3 linked regions of the Notamacropus eugenii genome follow. The protein of the gene in region 3 interacts with the protein of the main gene of each other region in a pairwise test. Links are inferred from orthologs where the notes say so. Each region holds a gene or a part of one and is shown on either strand. Other genes may lie near its edges. The genes, in order: MYL6B, AKAP7 and SPA17.

Region 1 (10,226 bases), on a different chromosome or scaffold from region 3:
AGTAAATTTCAGAGCAGACACAGGAAGGAGTTTCTGAGAATTCTCAAAATGGTGAAATCAAAGGTTCTTTCCAAAATAAAACTGTCATAGTTTGTTGAACTTTATAATTTGCAAAGTGGGGAGTGGAGGGTTTGAAGAAATTAGTTCATTTAACACAATAACTCTGTGTGGGTAGGGTTTATTATTATCTTCAGACTGAGATCCAGGATTATATAGCTAAGTAGGGAGGGGGTAACGTGTGTGTATGTTTTGTGTGCCCATGAAGAACATGTGTGCATATGAGTGTGCATAGATGTGGCTTACAGGAAGGCATGAGTGTCGACCTCTAGAGTCTCCTCCACTCATCCTTTTCCAAGAGAGACTTTGATCCCTTCCAGAAAAGGAAGCAGGGGGTTGGGGCCAGAGAGTAACCATTCTGTCCTCCTCAGAGAATGGAGTGCTTATCTAGAATTATATCTATCCATCCCCTTAAATATTGTTAACCTGTTGTTGGTGAGTCATATTTCAGTCACGTCTGACTTTTCATGACTCCACTTGGGTCTTCTTGGCAAGGATGCAAGAGTGGTTTGCCATTTCCTTCTCCAGTTCATTTTACTGTTGAGGAATTAAGACAACCAGCGTCAAGTGACTTGCCCAGTGTCACACAGCTAGTAAGTGTCTGAGGCTAAATTTGAACTCAGGAAGAGGACTCCAGGACCAGCACTCTATCCACTTTACCACTTAGCTGCCCTATGATTAGTCAAGAGGAAGTAATTTTTAGGTTCAAGACGAGCTTTATTTCTTAATGAATAAAGAGTCCCCCAAGCTATATATCCAAGGCTTGATTTACTTCCTACAAAATGCCTGCTCCACAAAGAATACTTGTAGTGAATAGCGAATGAACCCATTTAACCAAACAGATAACAAACAGAAACCAGAGAAAGTATACATATGTACCAGACAATATACAGAGGAATGAGCTCTCCCATTGGGAGTAAGATATCTCAGCTTAACCAAGAAAGAGTTCCAGATCTCTCTCTGTCTCTCTGTCTCTGTCTCTGTCTCTGTCTCTGTCTCTCTGTCTCTCTCTGTCTCTCTCTGTCTCTCTGTCTCTCTCTCTCTCTCTCTCTCTCTCCCTTCTCTCTCATACATCACCTACTCCACAGTGGGAAATTCCCCAAAGTTGCAATAAAGTAAATTGTGTATAGGAACATAATCAAGGTGCTGTTCACCTTTTCCCAAAATCTTTCTTTCCCTCTGGGGACCTGAAAAGGGTCTGGGTCTGCATCGTCTCTCTTGAAACTGGAAACTAGAAACTAAGATCTCTTTTCTCCCAGGCGCTCATCATTTCTACTCCTCACTCAGTTGTGGAACATTGAGTTATCAATCTCCGCCAATGAGGAGAGTCTTATGCAAATGAGTTTTGAACCTGAGTTACCAAAGTTACCTAATATGAGGCAGGATTCAAATTGGTCTTCCTGACTTAAAGCCCAGCATGCTATGTGCTACAGGAGGAGACTGTCCAGACAAATCACTGGCCTGGGAGCTAGGGAAAGTAGGAATTCAAACCTGTGTCCTCTAATTCCAAATATTTTGCCCTTTTCACTATTCCACCTGAGCTACTTCTCAAGATGGGCAAGAGTTTGGTGAGGGTGGGGGACAGGGAAGGAAGAATTTGAGACTCCCATCCCCTCATATAGAGCTGTGTGGCCTTGCTCATGTCACCTAACCTCAGGTTGACCTTAGATGGTCTCAGCTCTGAATGTATGATCCTAAAAAAAAGTCCTTTCCAGCTCTTGATCCTATGACTAAGCTTCATTCTGAAACTGTAGTAGCCCCTATCCTGGGACACTGCTTTTGGCTGGGACTTGGCGCCAACTTTACTGGCCACTCTGGAAAGTCTTTCCTGAAGTCTAACTTCCTTCCCTCTAGCAGTACCTTCAGTCTTTTCCCTCTCAAAGGTTTCTCTCACCTCCAACCTAGAGGGAACTCACCCAATCTAAGTGGGAGCCCTGCTGGGGTTTGGGGGAGACCATGGAAGTAAGGTAGTGATACTCCTTGGAAATTAAGACCCCTGGGGAGCCAGCGCACTAAACGTTTAAGTCAGTGGTATCTCAAGTATGTGGAAGACAACTCACTAGGCTGTGGGAAGAAAATACCAGAACTTAGGAGCAGCTCAGCTGTGCCATGAGCTTGTAGATCCTACTGGCTTTGGGGACTTTACATCCTCCCTTTCCCAGGGAGGGAACAGTCAAACATCTGCATTCCTGGGCAAGCAGGCAGGTAGGCAGATAGGTATTTCCCACCTGGATGCAGGCTGAGTTTACTCTTAGCTAGAAAATCAGCCAGGGTCCTACCCACATCTACCAGCAGGTTCAGTTCATCTCTATCCTCCCTTCCTAGCCCTGGCTATAGCAGCAGCTGTGGGCTCCTCATATGTTTCCTGACCTGAATACGCACCACTCCAGGACCCTGGGGTCTAGGCTTCAAAGAAAGAACCTGATTCCTCAAAAATAGGTATCCCTACAAAATGGATAGCTAGGTAATTCAGTGGGTAGAGCCTTGGGCCTGGAGTCAGGAAGACCATAGTTCATATCTGGCCTTAGACACTTACAAACTTTGTGACCCTCTATTTTCCTTAATCCACTGGAGAAGGAAATGGCAAACCATTCCAGTATCTTTGCCAAGAAAACCTCATGGACAGTGCTGATGTGCTATGGTCCACAGTTCACAAAAGAGTTGGACACAACTGAGCAATAACAACAGAATGGATAGTCAGGCAGCCAGGCTAGGGGTAGGGGAATGTTTTCAGAGAATGTTAACTCCTGGCTGCTCACCTTAACTTTCTGCCCCTAGTCCACCCCTGAGCACACATGCACCTACTCATAAGAGAGATTGCACAGGAGCAGACACAGAAAGTATAGGATCAAGGAGCAGGTAGCACCAATAACCAATGGTGGCAGCTGCCTGTGCACTCAGGAATCAAGCACTGGAGTACCAGTCTTGGATCTGCAGTTCTTCTCCCATCAAGACCCTCCCCGAGACCACTGTATGCCATAATACAGCTTGGAAGCAAATGAAGAAGCCCTATAGGAGACTTTTGCCCTCTCCCTGCCCCTGCCCCCTTCTCCCCTACCAGGAAGAGTTATAAGAACCTTACCACTAGAGACCATGTCCTTCCCCCAACCCATTAGGGAAAATGGAAATCTACTGGTTGAATTTCATTATCAGCAACAACAATCCTTTACATAATTGGTGGATTGTATTGAAAAATGAACACTGATTCAGGAAGCAACTCACATTACACTTTTTCCATTGGCATCATTGTATCATTGTGAAATGTCTTTTCAGTTGTAACCAAGTAAAAACGTAGCAAAGTGATGAGACGGATAGCCTTTTGGACCTAGAATAAAGAAGATCTAAGCTGATACTCTTTCTCAAACACTTAGTGGCTATGTGACCTTGGGCAAGTCCCTTGAGCTCTCTAAACTTGATTCCTCATTCTAGCACTTACTTCATAGAGTTGTTAGAAGGATTCAGTAAGATAAAACCATATGTATGAAAGCTTTACAAACCTTAAAGTGCTATATCTGTATTTACTATTATTATGAAGAGATAAAGTAAATTTAGAACCAGACCTTGAAAACCACTATATTACTAAGAGGAAGAACTGTGTTTGGATTTTGTTTTGTTTTGTTTTTTAATATCCCCAGCATTTAGCATAGTACCTGGAACAGGAGTGAGGGATCTTTGGCTTCAAGACCACACGTAGCCCTCTAGGTCCTCGAGATTAGCCTTGGATTCAGTCAAAGGGCTCTATTTGAGTTCCTAGAGGGCCACATGTGGCCTCAAGGCCACTGGGGAGTCAGTAACCTGACCTGGAACATAGTAGGTGCTTAATAAGTATTTGTTGATTGACTATTAGATCAAAATTTTAAAAAGAAATGAAGTTCAATCACATTACTCTCACTAAAATGATCATAATACATAAATAATTTTTTAAAAAGTTGGTTATTTGATATTTATCTCATTCTTGAACAACTCCTGTTCTTTTTGAAGGTTTCATTATGTATAGACTATTAGTAAGGCAGTGGATATATATTATGTATAAGTAAGTATACATATATGAGGGTATATTCAAATTTTTTTGCATAAGACAGGTGATCAAAAAAGTGTGAAGACCAACTGTTTAAAGGTTTAAATGCTGAAAGTCTGCAACTATGCTTTCAGCAACCATTTTAAGAGAAAAGAACTACATTTTCCATGAGGTCCAGACATAGGCTGAGACTACCACTCCCAGAATCCTTTGGGGATGGGCAGGCTCAGAATTAACCCATAAGTGGTCTTATCAGAACCACTCAGTGACATAGGCAATTTAAATTTAAGGGTGGCGTTTGGCTCTGTGGCTAGGACTAGATTAGATTGAATCAATCATTTCCTTGAATCCATCAGAGTTATTGTGTGGGAGACTGGGTTACACCCTTTACTCACCTTTGCACTAGCTTTAATCTGCTTTTGATGAATAGAGAATCTGACGCTTAGGAGAAGGGAAGTAACTCAGGCAACAGAGCTGGGAAAACTTGGTGGTATGGTGGAAAGCACTGAATTTGGAGGTAACAGACATGAGCTGAAATCCTGACTCTGACACTGGTCAGTTGTGTGCCCTTGAGCAAGTCATTTAGTTTTCTGGGCTGATTTTCCCTTGTGTAGCCCCACTTACTGGTAAGCCAGTTTGATGGCACTTGTACTCTTCCACTTCAGTTGTGGACTCACTTTGGAGGACCTGGGTTCAGTCCTGTGGGAGCCTGGTCTTTTTTCAGAGAGGAGTCATGATCTTTTTGTCACACTCTTTCTTTCCACCCCCAAACCGAGAGCCTAAGGGGAACTCTCTTAAAACTTGGGTTTGGCCCATGTCTAGAGTCTCCCCAAAATATGAAATGGAAAGATACTCAATAGATATAGGACAGCTATTTATTTCCTCCACAAAAAAAAATATGCTAAAAATACAGAAGATTCCAGCCTGCGCTCGAATTCGAGATTTGACCTTTTGGACCTCTGTTAGTATTAGATCTGAGGGAATTCAAACATAGATTCTTGATGGTATCCTTCTCTGAACTATAGTCTCAGAGGTGACCATTTCAGGATTTCTCCATCTACTTTTTAGAGTTACCTTAGTTTCCTTATCTAAAACATGATGAATTTTCAACTGAACCTTGTTACTCTCCCCATCTCTTTCCCTCTCCCTTGGATCCCATAGGGATCAATACCTGCAGCACAGACCTAGGTGAGGGTGGAAGTCCATGTTGCCCCTGTGTCTGGTTCTGGCCAGCCTGGAGTCAGGGGGTAGGGTAGGGTAGGGTTGAAACTGGTGTGTGAGAAATGAATAATGGGGAGGCTCATTAGGATTTCATTCTTGGGTTCACTCAGGGATGGAGAATTAGCCTTTCTTCCTGACTCAGGACCCTGCTACAGCCTCTTGGCACCAGAAGTCGTTCCAGACCCTTTTCTGTAATACCAAGGCTTGAGTGTATGTTAACTTTGACCTCCATCTGCCTTTGCCGGCCAAGGGGATAGTGTGTTGGAGCACAAAGCCCAGCCTCCCACACTGTCCTTTCTTTATCCTATTTCCCTCCCTCCCAATTTGCTCCTTACCATATGTGGTTCTGGAGCCGGGTAGGGGCAGGAGTGTAAACAGCTGGGATTAGGGGTGATGGATACTGATACCCCACTTCCAATAGCCTGATCCTTGAAAAGGACTTTGGGGAGGGGGAGGAAGTGAGTCATAACTTCACCCTCAACTGTGAATTCTTCCCTCCTCCCAGATGCATCCCACTCCTAGTCTGCAAGAGATTAAGATTTCAGGGGGAGAAAATGTTTCTCCCAGAGGAGAGGGGGTGCAGGGGTTGAAATGTGTGAGTTCTCTTCTGCCTTAGCCTTTCCTCTATCTGTGACTATAAATCTGAGATACCATGGTCCTCTCTGTTGGAGTGATTCCTGCTCACCCAAGGGTGAGACTTTTCATCTAGGCACCCAGTTCCCCATCACCCCCATTCCCTTATTCTCAGAGGGGGCAGTAACTTGGTAAAATGCCTTGGGAAATGTGGGCAGAAAGACAGAGACCTTGGGGCAGGAGGCCCAGAGTGAGGGAGGCAGGAGAGGTAGAGGGCAGGCAGGCTACTTTGTCTTTGTCTTTCTCCTCCACCTCACCCCCCCCACCCCAGTCTGGTCTCTGCTCCCGCCCCCTTGATATCCCATACTACTCCCTGGCTATTTAAACTGAGTGCCCCCTCCGGGCACTGTTCTTGTGCCCGTCATCCATCATTCACCATGGCTCCCAAAAAAGACGCCCCTGTGAAGAGGCCATTGGGACCTGCTGCCCCCAAACCTGCTGCCAAGCCAGCCGTTGCCCCTCCAGGGAAGCCCAAGCCTGAACCAGCTGCTCCCCCTGCCTCAGCAGCTCCCACCAAACCCCAGGAGTCCCCCATTGACCTCTCCAAAGTGGTGGTGAGTCTCTCAGCCCACAAGGGTCAAGATGAAGGGAGGGGGGCAGGGATGGGAGAATGGGGAGGCTTCTTTAGGAGGAAAGGATTTGGAGAAATGATGAATGGTATAAAGGGGCATGGAGATGGGATAGGGGAAATGGGGGAGGAGCTAATGGAGCTGCTATAATGATGTGAGGATTGCCTTAGCCCCTCCCATAACAAACCCAGAAGCCAGATACTAAGTCTATAGAATGGGGTTAGCAGGGCTCTGAGGCCAGGCACCCCAATTCTGCTGTTCCCATGTTCACTTTTCCCCTCTTGCCGCGTCAATGTGGCATATAATGGCACCCCTGTACACCTTGAATGGAGAACAGGGATGTGGGGAACACAAGAATCTGGGAACAGAGATGCTCAGCTCCTTGGGACTGTTTCACAAGAGAGAGAAAGAAGGGGCCAGTGTCCATCAGAGGGTGGACTCTTCAGGGCCTAGGAAAAGAGGCTGAAAGAGAGGGAAAGAGCCTGCTGCTCTGAGAAGGGAGGGTGGGGAGGGGGACTTGTTAGACAATCACAGCTGGGGGTGTGGGGGTAAATTTAGCTTTTGTTCAACTGCCGGTTATGTGAGGGATGCAGGGTTGGGAGAGCCAGGGGGAGGGGAACAGGTGGTGCTGGATTAGCCTTGTTTCCCAGGAAGGTCTCCCTCCCACATACCCGCTGCTAGTATTCTCCTAAGGCTTGGAGCTGGGAATGGGACTCAGGCGCTCTTAGCTCTCAGCTGGGTCCCTTTGGGCCACTCCACAGAGGCTGCCAATTATAAGGGATGGGGGAGGGGGTCTGGCCTGGACTGGGGGTTTCATGGCACCCCACCCCTCTTCACACTGTCTTTTCCTTCACAGATCGAGTTTAACAAGGACCAACTGGAGGGTGAGGAGACCATAACCACCCACCCCCACCCTGCTATCCTAAATCCCTTGTCACAGTCTTGTCTTTCTGTCTCCCTATGTCTTTCTCTCTCTCTTTCTCTTTTTTTTACAGCCCCAGAGCTGCCCTCCACATTAGTTCTGTCCTCAGAATTTCTTCCTCCTGCTGTATTCTACCTTAGTCCACTATTCTGAGCCCTGCTTCCAACCTGGGGATAGAGGGAACCCTTTGGCTAACCCCAATTCCCTCCCCATTCCCAGACTTCAAAGAGGCCTTCCAGCTGTTTGACCGAATAGGAGATGGGAAGATCTTGTACAATCAGTGTGGGGATGTGATGCGGGCCCTGGGCCAGAACCCCACCAATGCTGAGGTGCTCAAGGTTCTGGGTCACCCAAAGAATGATGGTGAGACTGCAGGAATTATGAGCCATAACAGGGAGGATGGTAGCAGGACAAAAAAAGAAATGATGACCAAGGGCTCACAAGTTGTTGTTAAGTACTCTAAGAGTGAGTTGAGTGGGGCTGGTCTGGGTACCCTTACAGGTAATACTGGAGGTGGGGATGGTTCTTTGCCATAGGTAGGGATTTTGTAGAAGCAATTCGGTTCAGATAGGGGTTGGACTAGATTCAGGGGTGGGGAACCTTTGGCCTCAAGGCCACATGTGGCCTTCTAGGTCCTCAGGTGTGGTCCTTTGACTGAATTCAAACTGGATTGTGTTTATGATAATAAAATGTAAGGGATTAATGAAAAACAGACAGACAAACTGGAAAGTGACAGAACTGGCTAAGGTTCATAATTATTAGCTCAAATGAATTGATGAATGTCACTTTGTCATGGGTGTTCAGCCATTCCAGTCATGTCTGACTCTTTGTGACCCCATTTGGGGTTTTCTTGGCAAAGATACTGGAGAGGTTTTCTATTAATGTTCAACTAGGCAGAAGCCAGAAAAGACCCTTAAAAAGATAAGACAAAAGTATTACTAAAAGATGAGAATAGCAGTGACTCCTCCAAATATAGTTTAATGACATATTCATATACCGTATATAAAAGATTTATAATGTGTCATAAAACACAATCTACATGCACGTACAGTAAAATTCTATTTGCTAAAAAAAAACAAACCAAACAACAAACAACCAGATAGAACTAGAATGATACAGATGGGTTAAATGGGATGGTTCTAATGGAACTATCTACTGGCTAGAGATCCCAAGTAATGAGGGTTGGATAGAGGAGTCCTAGGAAGGGGTCACTTAGCACACTCTATCCCCCCCACCCCTCCTCAGAGCTGAACTCCAAACGTGTGGACTTTGAGACCTTCCTGCCCATGCTCCAATCAGTGGCTAAAAGCCGGGACCAAGGCACATATGAAGACTATGTTGAAGGACTTCGAGTGTTTGATAAGGAAGGGAATGGTACAGTCATGGGGGCTGAACTCCGACACGTCCTCACTACCCTGGGTAAGATTGTAAAAAAGATGGCTCATGAGTGGAGGAGAAGTTCACTTGAGATTAAAGGGTAAGATCCCAGATTTTTGGAACTGAACAAGGGAAGAGAACAAGGTGCAGCCCAGGTGCAGGCGTGGGCTTCATGGTCATTGTGGAGGGTAGGTATGTTATGGGAAAGAGGAAGGCAGGGCAGGCATGGCAATTGGAAGTGGCCATTTCAGTCCAGTCTAGGCAAGGAATGACATTTCCTGGAAGGGACATATTTAAAGAAGCAAGAATAGTTAGGAAAGTAGCCAAATTGGGGAAGACCCCAAACTCCAGGGAGCAAGACCTAGGAAATTTCTTAATGTTCTGACAACCTGAAGTGTAGTGGGAAAGTGATGAATCAGAAGACACAGCCTCCAATTCTTCTGCCACTGATTGGCTGGGTGGCTTTGAGAGAGTCACTTTCATCTTTTGTCCTGGAGACAATGAAACCTGGGCTTCCTAGGTATTCTGCTAGCATGAGTGAAGTCATTTTGAAGAAAAGCAAGGTATCGATAAATTTGTAATAGGGGGCATGGGACTGGGGAGGAAGGAGGAAAAGGAAAGGAGAGAGAAGGCTAAGATGCCTCTGTTTGGGGGACTAGATGAGGAAGTACCACTCCTAAATAGTATGGCTGAAGTTGGGGTGGGAGGGAATAGGTTCCAAGTTTATCTGCTTCTGCTATAGGAGAGAAAATGACAGAGGAAGAGGTAGAAACCCTCCTGGCTGGACACGAAGACAGCAATGGTTGCATCAACTATGAGGGTGAGAGGGTGGGGAGGAGTGGAAGTAAGAGGTTTGGAGAGTATGTGTGTGAGTTGGGAGAGGCAGTCGTCCTGGGGAGTGGAGAAATCATCTATACTCCAAGGAGGGAGGGCAGAGCAGGGGTGCATGGTTCTGACCCCCCTCTTTCATCTTCCTTTGGCAGCCTTCCTGAAACACATTATGTCAAGCTGAGGCCCCAAGGTAGAGTGATTCCCCAGCCCAGCCCAGCCCTATCTCCTCAGCTCCATCCCTACCTTTTGGGGGCTTTGGAAGCATTAAGATACCCTGGAAATATCATTGAATATGGACTCAAGCCCTTGGGTTCAGATGTCATCTCTGCTATGAAGGGCTTGCATGGTCGTGTCATTTCATTCCCATAAACCTGTTTCCTCCTCCGTAAAATGAATGACATTTACTCTGTCAGTCTCTCAGGGTTGTTGTGAGAACCAACTATTAGTAGGTGAAAGTGTTTTAAAGGAAAGCAGTAAAGAATGTAAATGGAAGCCGTTTCTATGACTTTTGCTTTCCCTGGGAGAGCTTATGTGCAGCTCCTCTTTTTCCTGAGGGATAGGAGGTGGGGGAGCTGTGAGGGACCGCAGTGCACTAGGT
Region 2 (9,959 bases), on a different chromosome or scaffold from region 3:
TCTTCTCCCTATATCATGCTTTCTGTAAAACCAAAGACTTGGTATGGTTTAGACAGACAAAGCATAAGCATCATAGAGATAGGCAATGTGATTCTTTCAGAGAAACTAAATAATCAGCTTTTAAAAATCATACCTTGGAAGACAAATCTCAGTATTTCTTTTTCAGTATAAAATGAGGTTTGTAAAATATAGTTTTTTTTAAATAATTTAAAATATCTTAATAATTAGTCAATATAACCTAAATAAGATGTGGATCTTTCACCTTATGGCTCAAAGTAATAGTCAGTAAAATTATATAAATACACTTGAAAGCCCTACACTTAATAAAGCATGTTAAAAATTGCTGGCAGATATATACTGTTTGGTATTTCACTAAAACCCTATTGATACCAAATAAGAACAAAATGCATATGATGTCCCTTATCACACAAAAATGACAAATTTTATATAGGATGCTCCAAAGCTGAGATATTAAGACTTAAAACTAGCGTTTTGGGATACCCTGTATTTAAAAAGTCAAATGCAAGTTTCCTAAGCAAGTCACTCCACTAACAGTTCTATGAGAGATGTATAGGTTCATAAGAACCTTAAAATCATGTCGGACAACTCTCTCATTTATACATATGGAAACTGAGCTTCAGAACAAAGAGTGACTTGTTAGAAATAACAACTAGAATTTCAACAAAATGATGTTAACCGTATAGACTTTTAAACTTTGCAAAACTTTGTGATATTTAACAAGCCACTTAAAATCTCAGTTTCTTGGCTTCTTCATTTACAGAATGACACAAATACTATCAACTAATATACAAGGATGTTGCATGTATGGGGAGGAGAAAAAAAGGGAAGGAAATAAATACTTAGATAACACTTACTACATATGAAGCACTGTTCTATGTGCTTTTTCACAAATATTACCTCATTTAAGATCTATCCTGGGTGATAGGTGCTATTATTATGCCCATTTTATAGTTGGAGAAACTGAGGCAAACAGAAGTTAAGAGACTTGCCCAGAGTGGTGGTAGTGTTCAGGCATGTCCAAGTGTTCGTGATCCCCATTTCCAGTTTTCCTGGCAAAAATACTGGAATGGTTTGCCATTTCCTTCTCCAGCTCATTTTTCTACAAATGAGGAATTGAAGCAAACAGGATTAAGTGACTTACCCAGGTTCACACAGCTAGTAAATGGCTGAGATCACATTTGAACTCATTAAACTGAGTCTTCCTAATTCCAGGCCCAGCACGCTGCCACTTTACCGCCCAGGGTGACACAGCTTACTATTATCTAAGGCTGGATTTGAACACAGATCTCCCCAAGTCCATGCCCAATGCTCTAGCCACTAGAAAGTAAGTATGTTAGTATGGTGATAGTAGGACTGAGATGGCTAGGATATACCAGCGTAGATTCAACAGGATTTTATAACCAACTGAACCAAAGATAAATGAAAAGAAATAATAAATTATAACACCAAGTTTTTAAACACAGGAAACTGGATGAATCATGATGGCACTTAGAGAATAGTGAAGTTAAAAAAAAAAGTGGTTTTTTGGGGAAAGATACTAGCTTACTAGATCACATTTATTAGTAGTATAACCTGGATAAAGTCCTTTTTACTTTGTGGAGCCTCAATTTCTTATCTATAAACTTGGGGGGTTGTTTAGACCATCTTTCATACTCACCCAATTCCTAAGATTCTATGATTTTGTCTTACGCTTTGTTAACATTATTAATGGAGAGAAAGACTGAATAGGGTCCTAATTTTTCATAAAAAAATTTTTTAAAGCAATCATATCAACCACTATGAACTCATGCCTTTCCTTTCAATTTAATAGTCCCTTTTCTCTTTCCTTATGAAATAAAATCTCTCACTTTAAATAGACAACTTCAAAATAATCTCAAGTTGACATTACTCAATTCTGATTGCTACATTTCCTCCAGATTTTCATAGATTAATGTGCAAAAACACATTGTTTGATTTTGTGTTTTTTTGTCCTACAAATTCCTTAAGGATAAACATCCTCTTTTTCTATTTGTTTTATTCCTTCTTACAGCTCTGTCCCCTTGATTCTTATCTCCAAAGCTCTGCATTAGGTTCTACAAACAGTGGTCACTCAGTAAATAATGTTTGCTTCTAAAATTAGAAGCAGATCACTAGATTCACTGGATCTAGCATCTTAACAGTAAGATAAGGTTATTTCTAATCCCATAATATCATATTAAAGAGAAACAGCTCAGATTGTCTGAGTCCCAAATTTGCATTTTTACAAGGAAAAGAGCTGCAAAATTAAACAGCAAAGAAAAGAGGGTTGTTTCCTTTTTTTCATGTTTGCTATACAAATGCTTCATCTGTGGATCTTGCCATGAACTTTAGCCTAGAAACCAGAGAAAAGTACTGTGAAACAAAAGTGAAACTTAAGAGTCTGCATTTTGTTATGTGGCTGGGAGATTGTATGAATTTATATGCGTGATTGAACCCCTCCAGGCCTCAGTTTCCTCCACTGAAAAAGAGAAAGTGTTATGAGAGATGACCTCAAAAGTCCCTTGTGGGTCTAATTCTCAAAACAAAACCGTACAAATCTATGTTATCAAAATTCTACCGAGAAACAGAGGCACCTTAGTATAACAGAATTATTATATGAGGGCCATACTGCTGCATGTGCATTTTTTTTCCTTTTAACTGAGCTGTAAGGATTTGTCTGCTTCCCACAGCTCTGCGAATTCTTATTACCTCAAGAGGCAGCGTGTACCAGCGGAGAAAGCTAAGCCCTCTGGAGTCAGAGGACCTGGGTTCAAATACCCGCGTTGATACTTAGTAACTGACGAAGTGAAATGGATTAAACAAGGGCACTTTCTCATTTTGTTGGAAAGAAAATCGAGGCCAGGAAAGGAGGGATACCAAGCCTCAAAAGCAGGAATTTGAACTCCCAGGGTCAATGTCTTTTCCTCCACTCTACCATGCATTTCGGTGCAAAAAAGGAACAAGCTTATCAAGCCCATGATGTCACCGGTCCTCTCCAAAAAAGGACAAAGCAATACTGGTTTCTTGATCTGTAAAAGGAGGGGGTCTACTAGCCCAAGGCCCTCTTTTCCCGCCGTGGTAACTCTAATGTCCTAAAACGTTCTCTTGGCATTTACCGGGTCTGGGGGCACTGGGGGGGGGGGGTTCTCTCCTGTCTGCAGGTCCCCCACGGTTATCACACCCCTGGGGCTGGTCTCAGCGGGGGAGAAGGGGGTCTGTGCTCCTGACTGGAGTTCCCGAATGACTGGGAAGAGGGTGAGGACGCCTCCTCTTTGGAGGGGCCTCAAAGTCGGGGTGACGAGGGTGACACCACCACTCCGGCGCCTCCTCCTTCTCCTCCTCCCAACCCCAGGGTGGCCGAGAGCCCGAGGAGGGCGGGCCGGCGGAAAGCGTCGGGGACCGTGGGCCGCGCGGAGCCCCCGGCGGCGGCCTCGGCCCGGCGCCCACCCCTTGGCCCGGCATCGCCCTGCGGGCTCTCACCGTTTCCCGGGGGATCCATCTCCTGGGCCGACCTGAAGGACTCCTCCCCGGAGGCAGAGGAGGAGGAGAAAGCAGAGGCTGGCACCGCCCAGGCCCGCAGTAGCCCGCCCGGCTTCCCGGGCTCCGGAGCCCTAGGCAGCACGAGCCCTGGGGGCAGGAGGGCTGGGCCGCTACGGGCTGCGGGGACTGGGAAAAGGCAGAGGGGAGCGGGCAGGAGCGGAGGGGGAGACGGCGGCCAGGCACGGCAGGCCGCGCGGCCCGCACCGCCTCCTCCTCCCACCACGGCTCCGGCTCCTCTCGGTCCCCCGCGTCCGCGTGACTGCTGCAGCGGAGGCAGAGACGGAGCCGGCCCGGGCTGCGGGTCCGCTGGGGCAGCCCACGAGAAGCGGGCGGCTAGGCCCGCACGGCAGCGGCGGCAGCTCGGTGTCCCGCCGGCATGCAGCAGCAGCGCCCCGGGCCGGGGCGGGGGAGGCGGTGGCAGCACCAGCGCCACCAGCGGCGGTGGTGGAGGCGGCAGCAGCAGCAGCAGCAGCATGCCCCGGCTCGAGGGAGCGCGAGGGAGCCGCCGCAGCTCGGGCTCTGGCCCGGGACGGGGCCGCAGGAGCGCCCCGACTCCGCCAGGGGAGAGCCCCAGGGGCGGCCGCCGCTGCGGCGCAAACCCGGGCGGCCTGGGAAGCATAGAGAGGCGAGCGACGGAGAACGCCAGGTGCGCCGTCTCCTCCGAACGCGGCTCCGACTCCCCAGCGCCCCTCTGCGATTTCCTCGGTGGCCGGCTTTCCGGCCCCCCAAGGCCGGCAGACTGCTGCCCCGATGGGCCCCTCCTTCACCCACTCACTCCCCAAGGCGAGCGCCCTGCGCGAGTTTGCAGACACAGCTGAGAGAGAAGACACGTGCGGAAGATGGGAGGGAGGGGCTGGGGGAGGAGCAGGTGTGCTCGTGGGAAACTTGGGCGCTCGAGGGCATGGAACGTCCTGTGCCCCAGGCCCCGGGAATTCCGCGGGGAGGAGCGCGGGCACAGGGCGTCATGGGGCTTGGGCGGCGGGGCCAGGGGCTTTAACCACCCTGTGCAAGTGTGCTGGCCGCCCCTGGAGAGTGGAATGAAAGGAGAAAGCTAAGTGGACCAGAGTAACTGAGGCCAAGCCCAGCTTCGAAGTAGGGAATCCACTGATTTAGTTCTCTCTGCAAAGTGAAATAGACATCAGCTCTGGGAAGAAACAGTAGAACTTTTCTTTAATCCCCAGAGTAACAGTTACATAATAGCTTTAGTCAACTGCAAAAATAAAAACAAGACTAGGTAAATCCTTCCGCTAATTCGGCCAGCATGTTTAAACCTACTACGGTACCGAATACTGCTACAATTCCTTCAGCTCTCTAGTCCATACACCACAAACAGAAAACAAAAGAGGCTTTGGAGCATCCCCTCAACCTTCACTTATTTCACAATACAGGTGTTTCACAAATAGTGCACAGGAGGCACTGGAGTTTGGGGACTCCAGCCTCTAATAGGTTCACTCTTGATCTGGTCAAACAGGCGGACACCTTCAGAGGAGTTAATCTTGCTTTATTTAGTCTGGTCTAGTCTTCCCAGAAAGGTTGCTGATAATGGAAGAACCAGCTCCTACAGCATTCCCTTCTGGAAGGGGCTGGCAAGAAGAGGGGGCAACTACCTCTACTTCTCCATGGGGTCAGTGGAGACAGGCACAGCTTGTGTATGTACTCCCCTAAGTCCCCTTAAACTTCGATGACTTACCTGGTGGTTTCCCCCCAATCAACTGACCAGTGCCCACTTTCTTTATAGGTCAACGGACAAAGAAGGCATCTTGCCAACATCAAACTCACAGGTTATCTTTAGCAATATCTTCATTCTGTAGAAGCTTAGCAAATAGCAATTATGTCACCCCTTATCTCACAGGCAGCCTCAGTAGGACTGTCTGTCACTATGATTCTAGGAATTACTATCTAGGATCCTTGGGGCTATTCTGGGAGTTATTATCCAACACCTTGAAACCAGACATTGCCAGGGCCATGGATTCTAAAAAATTGAACTCTAAAAGGGATAACAAAATCCTCCTTACATACAACAGGGTATCCTAAAAGTCTTACTGCAATTTTAAGCTTTGACAGCTTAACTATACATCCTATTTCTTGTGCACCTGTTATGTGTCTGTGGAGGTATATAAAAAATGACGTTTGTATTTTGGTTTTTGGTTTTCTTAGACCTTATTTTTAAGAAACCAACAATCCATTTAGAACAAGGAGAAAGTGTTGGGTCCCATGATCTCTAAAGTCCTTTGTAACTCTTATGTTAGTATTTCTGTGAAATAGACAAATCACTGTGAGACTGATACCAGGCAGAACACCAAAAAGATACAAAATGATAAGGGAATTTACACTGCACTTATCTGGAAATATTGAATTTATTATCACTTGAACCAAGCATTTGTCATCACTTTAATACAGAGATAGGGATTGATTGGACTTGTGATTTCATTGATGAAGGTAATTCCTGGATGACAACTAAGAATCAGAAAACTGAAGTTATAGATTTAGAGCTTGGGGGGGAAGAGGAATTTCTTCAAGACCACAGTGTCTAAATGCTTCATTTTGCAGATGGGAAAAAAAGAAACAAAAAACCCTGGGCCCAGGGAAATCAAGAAACTAGGCTAGAGTCACACAGTAATACTTTAGGGAGGATTAGGAACTGCAGTCTTCCTGGTTCCAAATCCAGTCCTCTAACCATTTCATCAAGGTGCATCTCTGAAGAGTCTCTTTGAACTAGACCTTAAAGGATGGGTAGACTCTCTATAGGCAATAACCAAAATAGGGCAATTCCAGATGGAACTAATTGCACACATAAAACCATCTGAGTGCCATAGTTTTGGACGAGTTGGATAAATATCTCTTTAAGGTTTACAAAGCAATTTATATACCTCACTTCATTTGATCATTGCAAAAACCCAGTGAGCTGAATATGAGGAGTATTATCATTCCCATTTTACAGAGGAAGAAAACCAGTGCTATAAGACTTTCCCAGAGTCACACAGCTAGTTAATGTAAGAGATAGGTTTCAAACCCAGTTTTTACCTCATTCCATGGCTGGCATTCTTTCTGCCAATATAGAGGAGGGAAGGCAAGGAATATATTGTGGGAAAGTTGGTGATCCATTATGACTGTTGAATAGAAGTGCAGGTCCTGCCTATTTTTAGGTCCGGTGTTTTAGTGCCTTCCATGTAACAAACTCTTAATAAATGTTAAGTGAATAGTAAGATAAAGCTATAAAACTATGTTGGGGCCAGAGTATAGAGGGCCCTAATTGTCATTCAATTCCAAGGACTTAATTCCATAGGCAGAATAGAGCCACTGAAGTTTTTTGAGTAAAGGCTTGCCATGATCAGAGATATACTCTAAGGAAGAGTAATTTCAGATGGACTAAAAGTGAGGAGGTAACTGAAACTGTTGTTTATGTCTGACTCTTAGTTTTAGAGTTTTCTTGGCAAAGGTACTAAAGTGATTTTCCATTTCCCTCTCCAGCTCATTTTACAGATGAAGAAACTTAGGCAAAACAGGGTTAAATGACTTGCCTAGGATCATACAGCTAGTAAGTTGTTTCAGCAAGGACCCTGACGTACACAGAAGGGCCTGCTGTACAGGTTTTTAGATCTGCTTTTCTAAAAGGAAAGCAGCTTTTGAGAGGTCAACAATCACTTTAATCAAGTGCATGTCATTCACTTAGTTCAGGGGAAAAAGTCAGCACCTTGAACTTCAAAGAAAATACAAAGAAATAATAATCAATAGACAGGGCTTCCAACTATCTGACTGTAAGCAATACATACATCACAGATCAATAGACAGATCAAAATTTCTGACCATACATACATACATAGTTACCAGAGAGAGAAGCACCAACATCTGGGTTTTCAAAGCTGGAGCTCCTTAGCTACTGCCCAGTCTTATCTGGCCAAACACTTTCAATGAGTAAGCCCAAAGTAAAACCTCACCTCAGAGTATTTATACACTTTCAGAGCTGGAAGGCAGGACCCTCTGACCCACTGCCTCAACAGAAATTAACAAATGGTACTTGAGGCCTATTAATGGGTGGGGAAGATCTAATGAGCATTACATAAGTGTCAGAGGTTGAATTTGAGCTCAGGTCTTCCTGACTCCAGGGTCAGATACTTTATCCAGTTGGCCAACTAACTGCCAAAAACGAAATAGAGAACTCTACAGAAGAGTTGACAACTGCAGTTGTCCACTTAAGGCCATGAAATCTGGACTAAGATTGTAGCAATAGGAATAGAAAAGAGTAGACAGATATTTTAAGGAGACAAATCAACATTTTATATCTGTTCTCTCATTTGATCCTCACAACATTGTGAAATAGGGGCTATTATTATCCCCATTTTGCAGATAAGGACACTGGGGCTATGAGACAGTAAATGACTTTCTTAGCAAGTGAAAGGCTCCAAGCTGTTGATGCTTTCCACAATGTGATACTACCTCCTTTTCAGAGCACAACATGGGGAAAAATTCCATTTAAAATCCAGAAAAAAATTCTATGTTGCTGTTTCCATGGAATGGTAGAATCATCTGGTTCAACCTACACCTCTAGAGCATGAATCTACCCCTTCTACAACATCCTCCAGAGCTGGTCACTATAACTCCACTTCAAGGACGCTGACATCAATTTTGGACATCTCTGTTAGGAAGTCTTTCCTCAAGTTAAGTTGAAATTTTCCTTTCTACATCTTCTACAAATATAGAAATTCTGTCTTTGAGACTAAGTGTAATAAATCCAACCCTTTATCGGCAACCCCTCAACTATTTGAAGACACTTGCCATGGCAACTATGGTCTTATCTAAATTATGGATACAAATGTTAATATTCACAACTTTTAGGTTATTTTTTCAAATGAGGATCCATTCATAACAGCAATCCATTCTGCATTTTTATTTTGCTTTTTTTGTAAAGTAGCATAGAATCATGGTTTAGAGGTGGAAAGAATTTTAGAGATCGCCAAGTCCAATCATGATAAATGATCCATATGGCCACAAAAGGTTTATAAACAAAACAGTTCATTTTGCTGGCCTCTACCTTTCTTCAAAAGACACCTTCTTTGAAAGAACACCAGATAGGAAAATTTTAAGTCTAGGGAATAAAATTAATTATAAGCTTAGTCTTATTAACTTGGGCCTTTGAAAATCAGATGGTAGAATTTTTAACATCACTTAGTTCTATTTTGACAATAAATAATCAATCACATTTGTAATAGTATTTTCTAAAATACTTTCTTCACAATCACCCTATGAAGTAAGTAATTGCAAGTAATATTATCCCTATTTTAAGCTAAAATCTTCCAATGGATTTCTGATCTTACTGATACAAGTATTCCTGACAATGTTGCAGATTTCAATCTGTCTGTTTCTACCCATCCCATGTGATCCTTCTCCATATCTTTCCATGGGTTTGCCCTAAGAGTACACTCAGTGTTCCTGGGACTTTCTTTGCTTTCTTTTGGCAACATGAGGATACCCATGAAGCCCAATGAGAGACTGCCAGGCAATGATCCCTCACTCTACTCCTATAACCAACACATCTTTTTCATTTATGCATTTCTTCAATGATTCCTTTCCTGCATTACAAATAAGGAAACTGAGGCACAAATTAATCATCAAGGTCACATAGTAACTATTAGAGCTTAGGTTTTCTGACTCCAAGACCATGTTCCACTATCCCACTGTTACTATAGTGTCACCTGGCATAATAAAAAGCAGATTATATTTTGCCAAAGATTTGTAACTTGAAAAAAATGGCCATTGCTATCCTCTTCTTTCTCCTAGTTGTCTCTATCAACCTCTTAATTAATTTATTTTTGCTACCAAATTTGTATTTGTAATCAGACATCATGGATGGCATATTAGAGAGAAGGTATGTCTTTTTCTTCCCCAACACACCCAATTTCTATTTTGTTTCAGGACTAGTTCATCATTTACTTTGGGACCTTGAAATTTTGAAAAAAGAAAAAAGAAAAACCCTGTGCTATCCATTGTCCTTTCTGGGAGGTTCCTACGTTATATGGTGCTTTATCTAGCCCCTCTTCTTGTATAAGAGGTCTCAGCATTTGTCATATAGAAATCCCTCTGTCTCAAGAGTTCTAAATTTAGACATCTCAAGAAACTCACTATCCCTCCTAGGGAAAGCAAAACAAACAAACCACATTGTTCAGAATGTTGCATATTCTATTTCCGATTTGTTCTAGCTTCACAGTTCTGCTATAAGTAGGTATGTTCTAGTAAACGTTTAATAACTAACTCATAAAAAAATGAACCCACCACATACTTTAAAGTTAGTCTACATTACTAACATGTTGTCTATCGCTTTCTTAAGTCTAGAAATCAACAAAATAATAAATCAAGCTCTGATTTGTAACTTTTTGCTGATTTCCAAGATGTAAATGCTCACA
Region 3 (10,612 bases):
TAAAAAGTATTGTGGGCTTATCCAGATAAACTCAGAATACAGCAAAAGCAAACTCTTGATAAATTAGTTATTTTACTGCTAACCAAAAACACATTGACGTAGTGCCTAGCACAAGAGGTGATATCTGTTTATAGTAATAATAATACTAGTTAGGAAGTATATAGTGCGTTAAGGTTTGCAAAGCACTATTTGTATGTCGTCTCTTTTGATCTGAGACAGGTACTATTATTGACCTCACTTTATAGATAAGCAAAATGAGGTGGAGAGGGATATTAAAGTGACTCTTCCAGAGTCACACAGATAGTATGTTTCTGAGGCAGGATTTCAATACAAATCTACCTAAGTACAACACACTGGCTACTAACACCCCACCTGGCTTCTTTACTGTGCCACCTAATATTGTCATAGTGGGGAGATAATAATTTTACACAGTGGGGGAAAGATGGGGCAGGAGTCAAAATAAGATAAGGAGAAAAATGAAAAACAAAGATGATCAATACAGAGAAGCTGATAATTGGGTTAATGCCTAAAGAGGAAGAAGAGAGATGTACCCTTCCATACTGCTTCAGCTAAACTTTTATTTAGAGGGAGAGATCCCTAAGATGACTCTCTGGGGATCTTGGTGTTTAATGTTATCATTAAATTTCTATTGTTTCCATGAATTTCTATATGACAGATAAAAATACAGTCCTATAAATGCTTGAGTAATTTATGTTGCAAATTATGATGTAAAAATTACTATTATTACACTGGAAGTGTCCTTGTGAGGCATGTTGACATAGTGAGTAGAGAGCTGGCCTCGAAGCCAATAAGGGCTGGATTCAATCCTACTTCTTACACACACTGGAGGTATGACTGGGCAAATCATCTACTGTTTTCAATAATTCCCCAAGGAATTCTAAATGTTGTCTACACTGGTAAGAGGGAATTTCCTCATTGGGTATACCAATGAAATCACAGGGTCAGTCCAAAAGACATACAAAGAAATGGACATAAGCATACAATATCCTCTAATAATAACCTCACAATACAGAACAGCCTTAAAAAGTATTTTTTTCAGAGAGATTAGGAGAGGTTTTCTTTTTTCCAGTGTAACATGGCAAGGAGAAAGTTGGGTATAAAAAGAGATGAAAGTAAGGGAGAAAAGAAAGAGAAGGGGATAGAAAGAAAGTAGTTCAGATTTGGAATCAGTTAAATCTGTTAGAGCAGCCATTTTTGATCATTTGTTTCTTTTTTTATGTGATTCTTTAAGAGGTTCTCTTTCATCTGGAAAGTACTTATCTCTTTACTCCATTTTTAAAAAAATTATAATTTTTTTCAAGCACATGGAAAAGGGTAGACAATTTATATATGGTGGACGTGGGCTTTTATTAGTCCACTTGAGCTCTATTCTGATGATAGCATGGTGAGGAGGTGACCCTTGGTTCTGAAATTCCATGTCAGTAAAGCATAAGGTGCCAGTCTAACTGAATTCAAAGAGGCATATCACCACAGTGTGTTGGTCACCAGCTGATTATTTCTTTTCAGTCATAGCAACTCATGAAACAATCTATTAAGATCTAGAGGGTCTGTGATCTGCATCAGTAGAAGCTGGAAGTATTTAAGTAGTATTAGTTGGAAGACTAGTACCAAGAGACCATAAATCTGGGGTTGCTTTAATTACTGTGCTCTGGAAATCGTGACTCAATATTTATATAGTGAAAAGTTAATGAGTTCTAAAATTACAAAATGAATAAAGTTTCTGCATTGCTTTAACTTACAAAATTAATGTTGTATTGACATAATTAAATTACTGCTCATAATACTTTATATCTTAGCCCAAAGTCTAGAATTTCTCATCTTTTTCCCTAGAGAATATATCAAAGTATTGGAAGGTAGCTAAATCTGTTAGGTCATGACCTAGTCATAATAATTAGATGCTGAAATGATCGGAAATGTACAGGAAAAAAGGGCTGGGCAGAGGTTCCTAACAATGCTGGGAAAGGGCAAAATTTTGAACTATATTTAGTGTGGGAGAGATGCTGTTTGAATTATACCAGTCTCAGAGAAGGTATTCTCCCTTTCTCTTTAAAATGAACAAGAGTCATGTGAAATGTGGGTTTTTCCAGTCACCTTACCCCATTGTTGGATGAGTATCATTAATTGGTGTAGCTTAAAAAGAGATCTTGTCTCAGGTAGGATTAGGCTTTAGTATAACTTTCAGCTCCTACCAATCAATTTTGGATAGTGGTGGTGTTTGGTTGTTTTTAGTTATGTCCAAGTCTTTGGGACCCCATTTGTGATATTCTCTGCAAAGATGCTGAAGTGGTTTGCCATTTCCTTTTCCAGCTTATTTTATAGAAGAGAAACTGAGGCATACTTACTTAAGGAACTTGTCCAGAGTCACACAGCTATTGGACATTTCAAGCCTGAGATCACATATCAACTCAGGAAGATGACTTTTCTGACCTCAGGCCTAGTCCTCTGGCCACTTTGCCACTTACCTTCCTGTTTTGGTTACTTGCAGTCTTGGGTAAATGATCCTACTAACTTAAATGTGTTATGACTTGGAGAATTCTGAAGGTAGAAGTGAAATACGTTGTGTGACTTTTTTCTCAACTAGTCACTGGCTGAAAAGGCAAATCCCTGTCTCTGGGCAGGAATAAGGCCTTGAGAGTGTGGGGGGAAGAGGGGAGGGTACAATGGAGAATAGAAACAAAATTGCCACCATTACAGAGTTGGACAGTTTCCTTTATAAAGCAAAGTAATCATTTTTGGTGTGGGATCCTAGGAAAGCACAATTATGCACCATTTAATTTAAACTATGTAGAATTCCCTCTTACAGAATACTACTTTTAAGTGAAAAATATTTGGATATGTTTGGGAGTTCAAGGAATTTCTTCCATGGAGATTTTTAAGAAATAGGACAGACAGCCAATTATTGAGTTAAAAGGTGCTTGAAAACCGAGGAGCAGAATGAATATGCTGGAGAGATCCTGTCTTGCTAAATAAGTCCTTGAAAGGCCAATTATGAAGGACAAAAAGAAACAGGTTAGAATTAGTATAATAGAAAACAGTGAAACTCATGGAAGAAATAAATTTCTTCTATTGGAAGGGCATCTACCTAAAAGTCATATATTTTTGATTACTGTATCAAATACCAAAAACTTGTTTTTGAATGTCACCTGTCAAAACAGACTTATTGATAGGTTTCCTTAAGCAAATTTCATTGAAAATCAAATAATTATTCTTTAACTTAAAAAAACCAAAACACTTTAAAAAGCCCATTTTAAGCTTACTCTCTCTTTTTTCTAGTAGGTTTTCAAAATATGCTGCTGCAAAAGCTGGAATATTGTCCGGCTGCTCCCTCAGAATCTCCCGTGTCAGCCCTTCGAGAAGATTCCCAAATCCTTGTGGAATTCGGTAATGCGTATTGGAGAATGGAATCGACATCTCTTTGGAAGGAACTGCCTATTGTACACAGAGATTATTAAAGAGCACTGAGTTCATTTCAGGACTTCATTTGCACAATTAAAATGCTAAAGTAAATGATTTCTGATAGACAAATACTTCTCTACTTCAACTTTTCTTGAGCACAATCTCAGGCTCATCTATACCTTCAAAAAGTTGTAGGCTTTCCTTTGATAGTAAGGGAACAATGGCCCATTGAGTGGGCCAAATCCTTTATTTCTACAACAAATATGTGGATAATTTGATGTAAAGCCTTCTTAAACTATGTATTTTAATTTATTTGGATCTACATGGGAAAAATCATACCAGATACTTCTGTACTTCCCAGAGATGTTATGTTAAGGTAAACCATTAGGTTAATTAAATATTATGATTATAGTGTCCTTCCTTCAGGGAAGATGTAGAGATGGTCTTGTCTGTAAATAAAAACCTTTAGGCAAATTTTGCTCAAGAACTAGTATAAATTTAGAGGCCCTCCATCACATCATGGCCCAAGTGATGACATAGCCTCAAATTCCATCTTTACCTCATCTATCTCTGCACAGGGGGGTCATGTCCCTCTCTAGATGTGCTAAGCTGCCATTCCTGGGGGTGAAACAAAGTCCTTAAATCTCAGAGGCTTTGGAGTTCTTATATTTGTTGGCTTTGTCTTGGCCAGTTCTCCTATCTTGCAGTAAAAGTTTACATCAGCTTTAGAGGGCGTGAATCTCCAGGGTGGGTCCCAGGGGGTGGCAAGGCCACTTAAGGCCTTGGTCGCTTAGGCCGGGGAGAAGGGGGACCTCGGGGAGAAGGGCTGCGGCCTCGGAGAATGGGAAAGGAGGGTGTGAACTGGGCCCGAGGGGAAGGAGGTGTGGCGGAGGGAAGGTGGAAGTTCGGGGGTCGTGATGAGATCTTGGGCCAGGCTGAGAGATGGGGCTTGGGGGGGGCCAAAGGAGCTATGGGGCCGGCCCCTGATCCTCCAGGCCGAGCCAGAGGCGACCCTCTCCGGGGGGCTGGGAGTCGCTACTGGGGTGGTCTCCGATTCTCGGGGAGCCGTATGGGTCCCCGGGTGTAGGGAGCAGTCGCCTTGAGGGTTCCGGGGAGCTCGCCAAAAGGGAGCAGGGGAAAGGGGGAAAAAGCGGCCGACAGTCGCGGAGACGGAGTAGATGGGCTCCCGTCCTTACCTCTCCTTTCTCCGGCTGCCGGTGCCGATGGTTCCGGTTGTTTCTTCTCGTTGCCGGGTAACCGTTTTCCGGCAGATTCCTTGTCTACGGCGGCCGAACGGAGCAAAAAGCTTAGATTCGATCTACTGGCAGAGCCACCAGCCGCTTCATGTACTGAAGATGAAAGAGGCTGGGGTGGGGCTGGGCCCCGCCCTCATCTAAGCCCCGCCCCAGCCAACCTCACCGTCTCCGCCCCGAGCCTCACACTGTCCCCGCCCCAAACCCTGAGGGGCATATCCTGGGTGCCTGGGAACTATGACGGGGGCCTCGGGCCTGCGGGCGCTGCTATTGTTGCCGTGGCTCTTGGGGGCCTGCGGGGGCGGCGGAGCAGGTGAGGTGGGGGCCGGGCCGGGGCCTGGCCTTGGCCCTCGGCCCGCTGCGGCTCCCGGAGCCTCCTCCGCAGGCCCGGCCCTCCGCCGGGGCCAGAAGGGTTGAGAAGGCCCTTCCCCGGCCTTGACCTGAAGGGGCCGCTGAGGGCCGGCCTGGGAGGAGGCGCTGGTGATCGCAGGCTTTCGTGGGTAGTAGCGGACCCCTGACCACTGCATTTCCAGGGTTGGTGGTAGCTGGGTAAAACTTCGCCCCCTCCCCCCGTCCGTCAGGAGTGACTTTTGCCTCTGCGAGGCTCCTGGGGAGCTGACAAACGGAGCCTGCCTGCCACAAGCCCAGAACATCCAGGCGCACGCGGGACTTGGGGCCCAGTGGTACCTAACCTGGATGACTGGGGAGCTCGGCATCTGGTCCTGTCCTGCGGTGTCAGTCCCCTCCTTTTTATGAGTAAGATGGGCCTGAGTCGCGTCCGTGGCCGCTTAACTCTGCCCTGGGAGCAGTGCCGAGGCCCCTGGAACTAAAGACCCCAGGGAAAAGGGCACTCCCCTCATGAGGGATTGATCAGGACTCTGTTCCTCTCTTTCTCGTCTGGCCTCTTACTTCGCCTCCGTCTTTATTTTTCTTTCAGTTATCGCTATTTTACATGTTATCTTCTCCCCTTTATCTCCCCCTTCTCCCTCAGTCCAGTTGAAGACAGCACTTCATGCTTTCTACTGCCAACCCCACGAGAAAAGAAGAAAAAACTTAAAAAAGTTGCAAATAATAGAAATGTTGGGGAGGGCTTTTTTGAGTATATGCATTTGACAGCAATAAAAAAAAGCCCTATTGTAAGAATGTCTTCTTATTTCTGTCCAGATCCTGGGTAATCAAAAAAGCATCAATCGAGGAACATTTATTAGGTACCTACTGGGTGCCAGGTTCGTCTGTACTTGCTGAGGATACAAACATAAACACTCCATACTCTCAGGGAGGACAGCATGTAATATAAATATAGAGAGAATGAATGTATGTAACAAAGTAGATAAAAAACAAGGCAGTTAGGGAGGTAGGACGTTTAAACTGAGGAGCTCAAGATAAACTGTATAGAAGATGGGGCTTGATCTGTGTCTTAAAGGAAGTGAGGGATTCTCTGATGCAAGGGAGGGTAGAAAGTACATTCTACAAATGGGAGATCGCTGATACAAAGGTGGGAAAATGGAAGAATGAATGCTATGTGAAGATCCCCTGGGGGGAGAGGGATTAGGTATTCCTGGCCTAGTAAGGACAAACAATCCTGTCACCAACTGTGCGTGGGGCAAAAAGTCCCTGATATCTCTTAACCTGATTTGAGAGATATATGTGAAGCATGATATCAACTCTCTAGGTTAACTGCTAATTACAAAGAGCAAAGAAGCTAGCACAGCTAGATCTTAGAGTCTGACAAGAGAAGTAATATATAGTCTAGAAAGAGGTTGGGGCCAGGTTTTGAAGGGCTTTAAAAGTTAAACATAGGAGTTTATATTTTATCTTTGATGCAATAGGGAATCATTGGAATTGACTGAATAGGGGAGAGACATGGTCACATATTCGTTTTAGGAAAGGCAGATATGTAGAGAATGGATAGGGAGGGACTTAAGGCAGAGAGAGAGACCAATTAATTAAAAAGTCATTACTATAGCATAGGCAAAAAGATGATGAAAGTCTGAACTAGAGTGGTGGCTATGTGAGTAGAGAGAAGGGGAGATGGATTCTCCAGAGATGGGGAGGCTTAAATGTCAAGATTTGACAACTGATTGTCTACGTGGGATGAGAAACAGTGAGGAATCAAAGATAACTCCCAGGTTTTATATGTTATGGTGCTACTTTCAACAGAAAGCAGGAAAAGTTTGAGAGAGGAGTAGGTTTGGGGGGAAGCTAATAAGTTTAATTTGGAAATGTTGAGTGTGCGGTATCCTGGAGGCACCCATTTTAAAATGGCTGATAGACTGCAATAAACTCTGGAGAGATACTGGGGCTGGATATATGAATCTATGATTCATTTGCATAGAGATCGTAATTAAGAGCCCTATTATGTTGCAAGGTGAGAGGCAATGTGGTGTAATGGATGGAAGACCAGTTTGGATGTTTGTTAGGACATCCTGGGTTCAAGCTCTTCCTCTGACACATATCAATCATGAGAATCCTGGGCAAGTCAACTAACTTTTTAGTACCTCGGATAACTCTGGATTCTAAAGTGCTGAACAGCTGTAGATGTGCATTGATAGTGTTTCCTAACTTGGAATTCTTCACACAATGAAATTCACAAGTCTGAAAAAAAAATGTGCAAGGCACCACGGGATATAAAGAAAGAAAGGCTAGGGATACAAAGAGAAGAAGTTAAAAATAAAGGAATTAACCATGGTAATGTTCCTCCATGTGCCTTTGTCATGTGTCAGTTTTAGAATCTGAACTCCTTGAAGACAAGGAATGTTGTCTCCTTTATTTACCTCAGGATATAGAGTGTGGTGCCCTTGAGAAGAGCAGTGAACTGGAAAGTGTTCTGTAACCTGGGTTTCTTTCTTTGCCATGACCTATGGTTTTGTGACCTCAGGCAAGTCACATGACTTCTCTGGGCCTCAGTTTTCACATTATCAAATGAAAGGTAGATAATTTTTAAAGTTCTCCCTTGCTCTATGAATTTAATGATTCTCAGATCTGTTGCAGAGTTGTGCATGATTGTACTCAAAAAAGTTTGTTGATGATGATGGATTGAGTTGGAAAGCTCTCTTCTGCCTTTGTGTTACAACTTGCTCTCATTTCTTTGCTGAGTTTCTTCTTTGGGCTTATACGCAGCAAGTGTTCTTTTGTATTTCATCTCCCCCAAATTCACTCCTTTTCTCCCCACCTAACTCCTCTGCTCCTGGTTATCATTTCTGTTCAGTATGAAGCACCTACCCCAGACAAGGACCTCCCACACATATGCCTTACTTTTGGCAAACTGCCTATATGGTTATGCAATCACTGGGATATTGTATTCTGTTCTTGGTGCATTTTGCTAACTGTCCCTAGCCCAGCAGCCCTATAGGATTAGGTTGGTTCATTATAAATAGGAGAGACCTTAATGATTGGGCTGTTGCTGAGAGTGACTGTCCACTCAGAGTATGTGGGTGACTGCTTTGACTGTGATACTGCAATAGGTATCATCTAAAGAACCTTGCAAGATTATTTGTAGCTCCTGGAAAGGAAAATTCCATCTTCATTTAATTCTGATCTCTCCTGTTCATCATTTGTCTTTAGGTCACAAAATATCAATATCTTTATTCTCGCGTAATGATTAGAATGTGACTTAACAAAGTACTATTTCTAGCTGCATTTTGATGGACATATTACTGAGATGATTTAGATTGTAAATTTGTTATTAATAAAACACTTCAATATAGGCTTAGTGTTAAAAAATAGGAATTGTCTTGTTAAAGCGAGTTTTTTGTTCGGTCTTGTTAGTGAATCTCTAGGACAGAATCTACATTTTCAACTACATTCTTTTTTGTCCTTTTGTCAGTTTAATTTTGGGAAATAGTGAATTTATACTAAGGATTTGTGGTCATACTTTTTCTCTCAGACTTCATCTTTGCCTCAGTCTCTATATTTACCATTAAGATAATACTTTAAGATAGTTTCTCTGACAGACATCTATAAATGCTTAGGAGTGATCACTTCAGGACCCCCAGCATGTCAAGAAGTCATAGTGAATAGTTTGAGGAAAGTTCATCATTGGTAAAGAGCAAACATAGAAAAGAGAAAAACCAGAAGAAAGGAACACATTGGATAAATGTATACTTCTTTAGTTTGCTAATTCAATACATATTTATTAAGCTCAGAAATTTTGCTTGGTGCTGTGGAGGAATAAAACAATGAATAAAGCATTTGTCTCTGACATCTAGACTCAGTCACTGGGGGTGTCAGAAACCTTAGATAATGTAGGAGAGATTAGGAGAAGGCATTTATAAATTCCCATTTGTAAGTATGTAACAGGAGACAATTAGTGGTAGGAAAAAGAGGCATTCTTTCAGCATAGAAGCATAGAGAGTAAGGGGGTAAAGCAAGCTGTAAACTGAATGGAATGAGGGTAGGAAGATGCCTGGATGGCAGTGGACTCTTTGGGAATTCAACATTGCTCACCTGCATTTGATGTATTGTGTTGATACATATTCCGGTTAGGCTATTTACTTGTTAGGAGGAATAAGTATGAGATTGTGGGATTAAATATCTATTCTCATTGTTTATCTGCTTTTTTAGGTTGTAATCTCTCTAATGGAATTATTCTGCCTCCTAGGTGTTAATTTTCGTTTTGCTTCCTACATTGGTGATCACATGGTGTTGCAGAAAGAACCAGCTGGAGCTGTGGTCTGGGGTTATGGTAAAGTTGGAGGCATTGTGATAGTGACTCTGCGCCAAGCTCAGGAAACCATCATGAAGAAGATAACCTATGTGAAAGGTAAGGCAACCCCTTTTCAGTTCAGCATCTGTCCTCTTCTGCCATCTGCTGGATTACCTGAAAATGAATGCTTGAGCTCCATTGCAAACAGGGGCCAAAGGTAATGCTGGAATTTGTGGTAGCATTTTCTGTAAGGAGCATATACATATAAACTACACAAATAGTTTGCGAAGGAAAGATCAGAAAACTAGAACATGAAGAAACTCACAGTTGGTGCTAGGTCAGGTGAATGTTGGGGAAGTCATATTGTTAGGGATGCGTACAAGGTGGGGCAGATGGGGAGGCTGTACCAAGTGACACAGGAGTTTAGATTATGTGGGAATGTGATAGTCCTTAATGCTTGAATGGAGTAGACTTCCTCAGGAGAACATGAGTTTCTAGTCATTGGGGGTGTTAAAGCAGAAGGTAAATAACCATTTTGGAGGAGTGCTGTAGAAGACATTTATCTATGAGATGGACTAGATCAGGAGTTCTTAAATTGACTCCATGTACCCTGAAGACATCTGTGAATAGATTTCAAGGAATCTATAAACTTGAATGAGAAAAAAAATCACATCGTTATTTTCAGTAACTTTTGGTTTCCTATGTATTTTATTTTATGCTTTTAAAAACATTATTCTGAGAGTCTTTAGGCTTCACCAGACTGCTGGAGGACAGAAAAAAAGTTAAGAAACCTTGGACTAGGTCAGTGGTCCTCGTGTGGTCAGTGGACTCAGGGGATCTTGTGAGGTCAAAATTATTTTTTGTAATAATACTAAGGCATTTTAATTTCCCAAACAGTCAATATTGGTAAATATAATCCCCCCCAAACAAAAGCTCTTTAGAGGGTCCTAAGTAATTTTAAGAGTGTAAAGGGGTCCTTTACAGAAAGTTTGAGAACCTCTCATCTAGGCGAACATTCTCGTGCTAGGACTTCATGATTCTTTGTGTATTTAAGTGGCATGCAATGAAAAATTTTGGAGGACTGAAAACGTTATTGTTGATTTTTAGGACTCTGGTATCTAACTTTAGTAATGATGACTTATGCTTACATAGTGCTTTACATAAGTTATCTCATCTGATACCAACATCTTATGAAGGGGGGCTAATATTATCTGCGTCATATAGAGGTGGAAGCTGAGGTGTAGAGAGATTAAATGACTTCTCTGGGCTCCCAGGTGTTGGAAGAAGAGATTTGCAC

What was found.
Region 1: the proteins of SPA17 (region 3) and MYL6B interact in binary tests that used the Homo sapiens proteins (3 or more experiments, as listed by UniProt). The two-hybrid records come from large-scale screens. The link is inferred for Notamacropus eugenii from reciprocal best matches to the Homo sapiens genes SPA17 and MYL6B.
Region 2: the proteins of SPA17 (region 3) and AKAP7 interact in a two-hybrid assay, tested with the Homo sapiens proteins (3 studies listed by BioGRID and IntAct). The two-hybrid records come from large-scale screens. The link is inferred for Notamacropus eugenii from reciprocal best matches to the Homo sapiens genes SPA17 and AKAP7.

Annotation. Positions count from the first base shown.
Region 1 is NC_092874.1:231,419,885-231,430,110, forward strand, and holds the start of MYL6B (myosin light chain 6B), read left to right. Parts: upstream 1-5,638; 5' UTR 5,639-6,306; coding exon 6,307-6,483; coding exon of another isoform or gene 6,484-6,505; intron 6,506-7,354; coding exon 7,355-7,382; intron 7,383-7,639; coding exon 7,640-7,783; intron 7,784-8,665; coding exon 8,666-8,839; intron 8,840-9,539; coding exon 9,540-9,617; intron 9,618-9,780; coding exon 9,781-9,809; 3' UTR 9,810-9,818; intron 9,819-10,226. UniProt on the Homo sapiens protein: Regulatory light chain of myosin. Does not bind calcium.
Region 2 is NC_092873.1:215,991,890-216,001,848, reverse strand, and holds the start of AKAP7 (A-kinase anchoring protein 7), read right to left. Parts: upstream 4,273-9,959; 5' UTR 4,178-4,272; coding exon 3,499-4,177; intron 1-3,498. UniProt on the Homo sapiens protein: Probably targets cAMP-dependent protein kinase (PKA) to the cellular membrane or cytoskeletal structures.
Region 3 is NC_092876.1:171,509,064-171,519,675, reverse strand, and holds the start of SPA17 (sperm surface protein Sp17), read right to left. Parts: upstream 4,725-10,612; 5' UTR 4,614-4,724; intron 4,594-4,613; exon of another isoform or gene 3,977-4,593; intron 3,451-3,976; 5' UTR 3,433-3,450; coding exon 3,279-3,432; intron 1-3,278. Other genes in the region: SIAE (sialate O-acetylesterase), read left to right, coding at 4,908-4,983, 9,271-9,432. UniProt on the Homo sapiens protein: Sperm surface zona pellucida binding protein. Helps to bind spermatozoa to the zona pellucida with high affinity. Might function in binding zona pellucida and carbohydrates.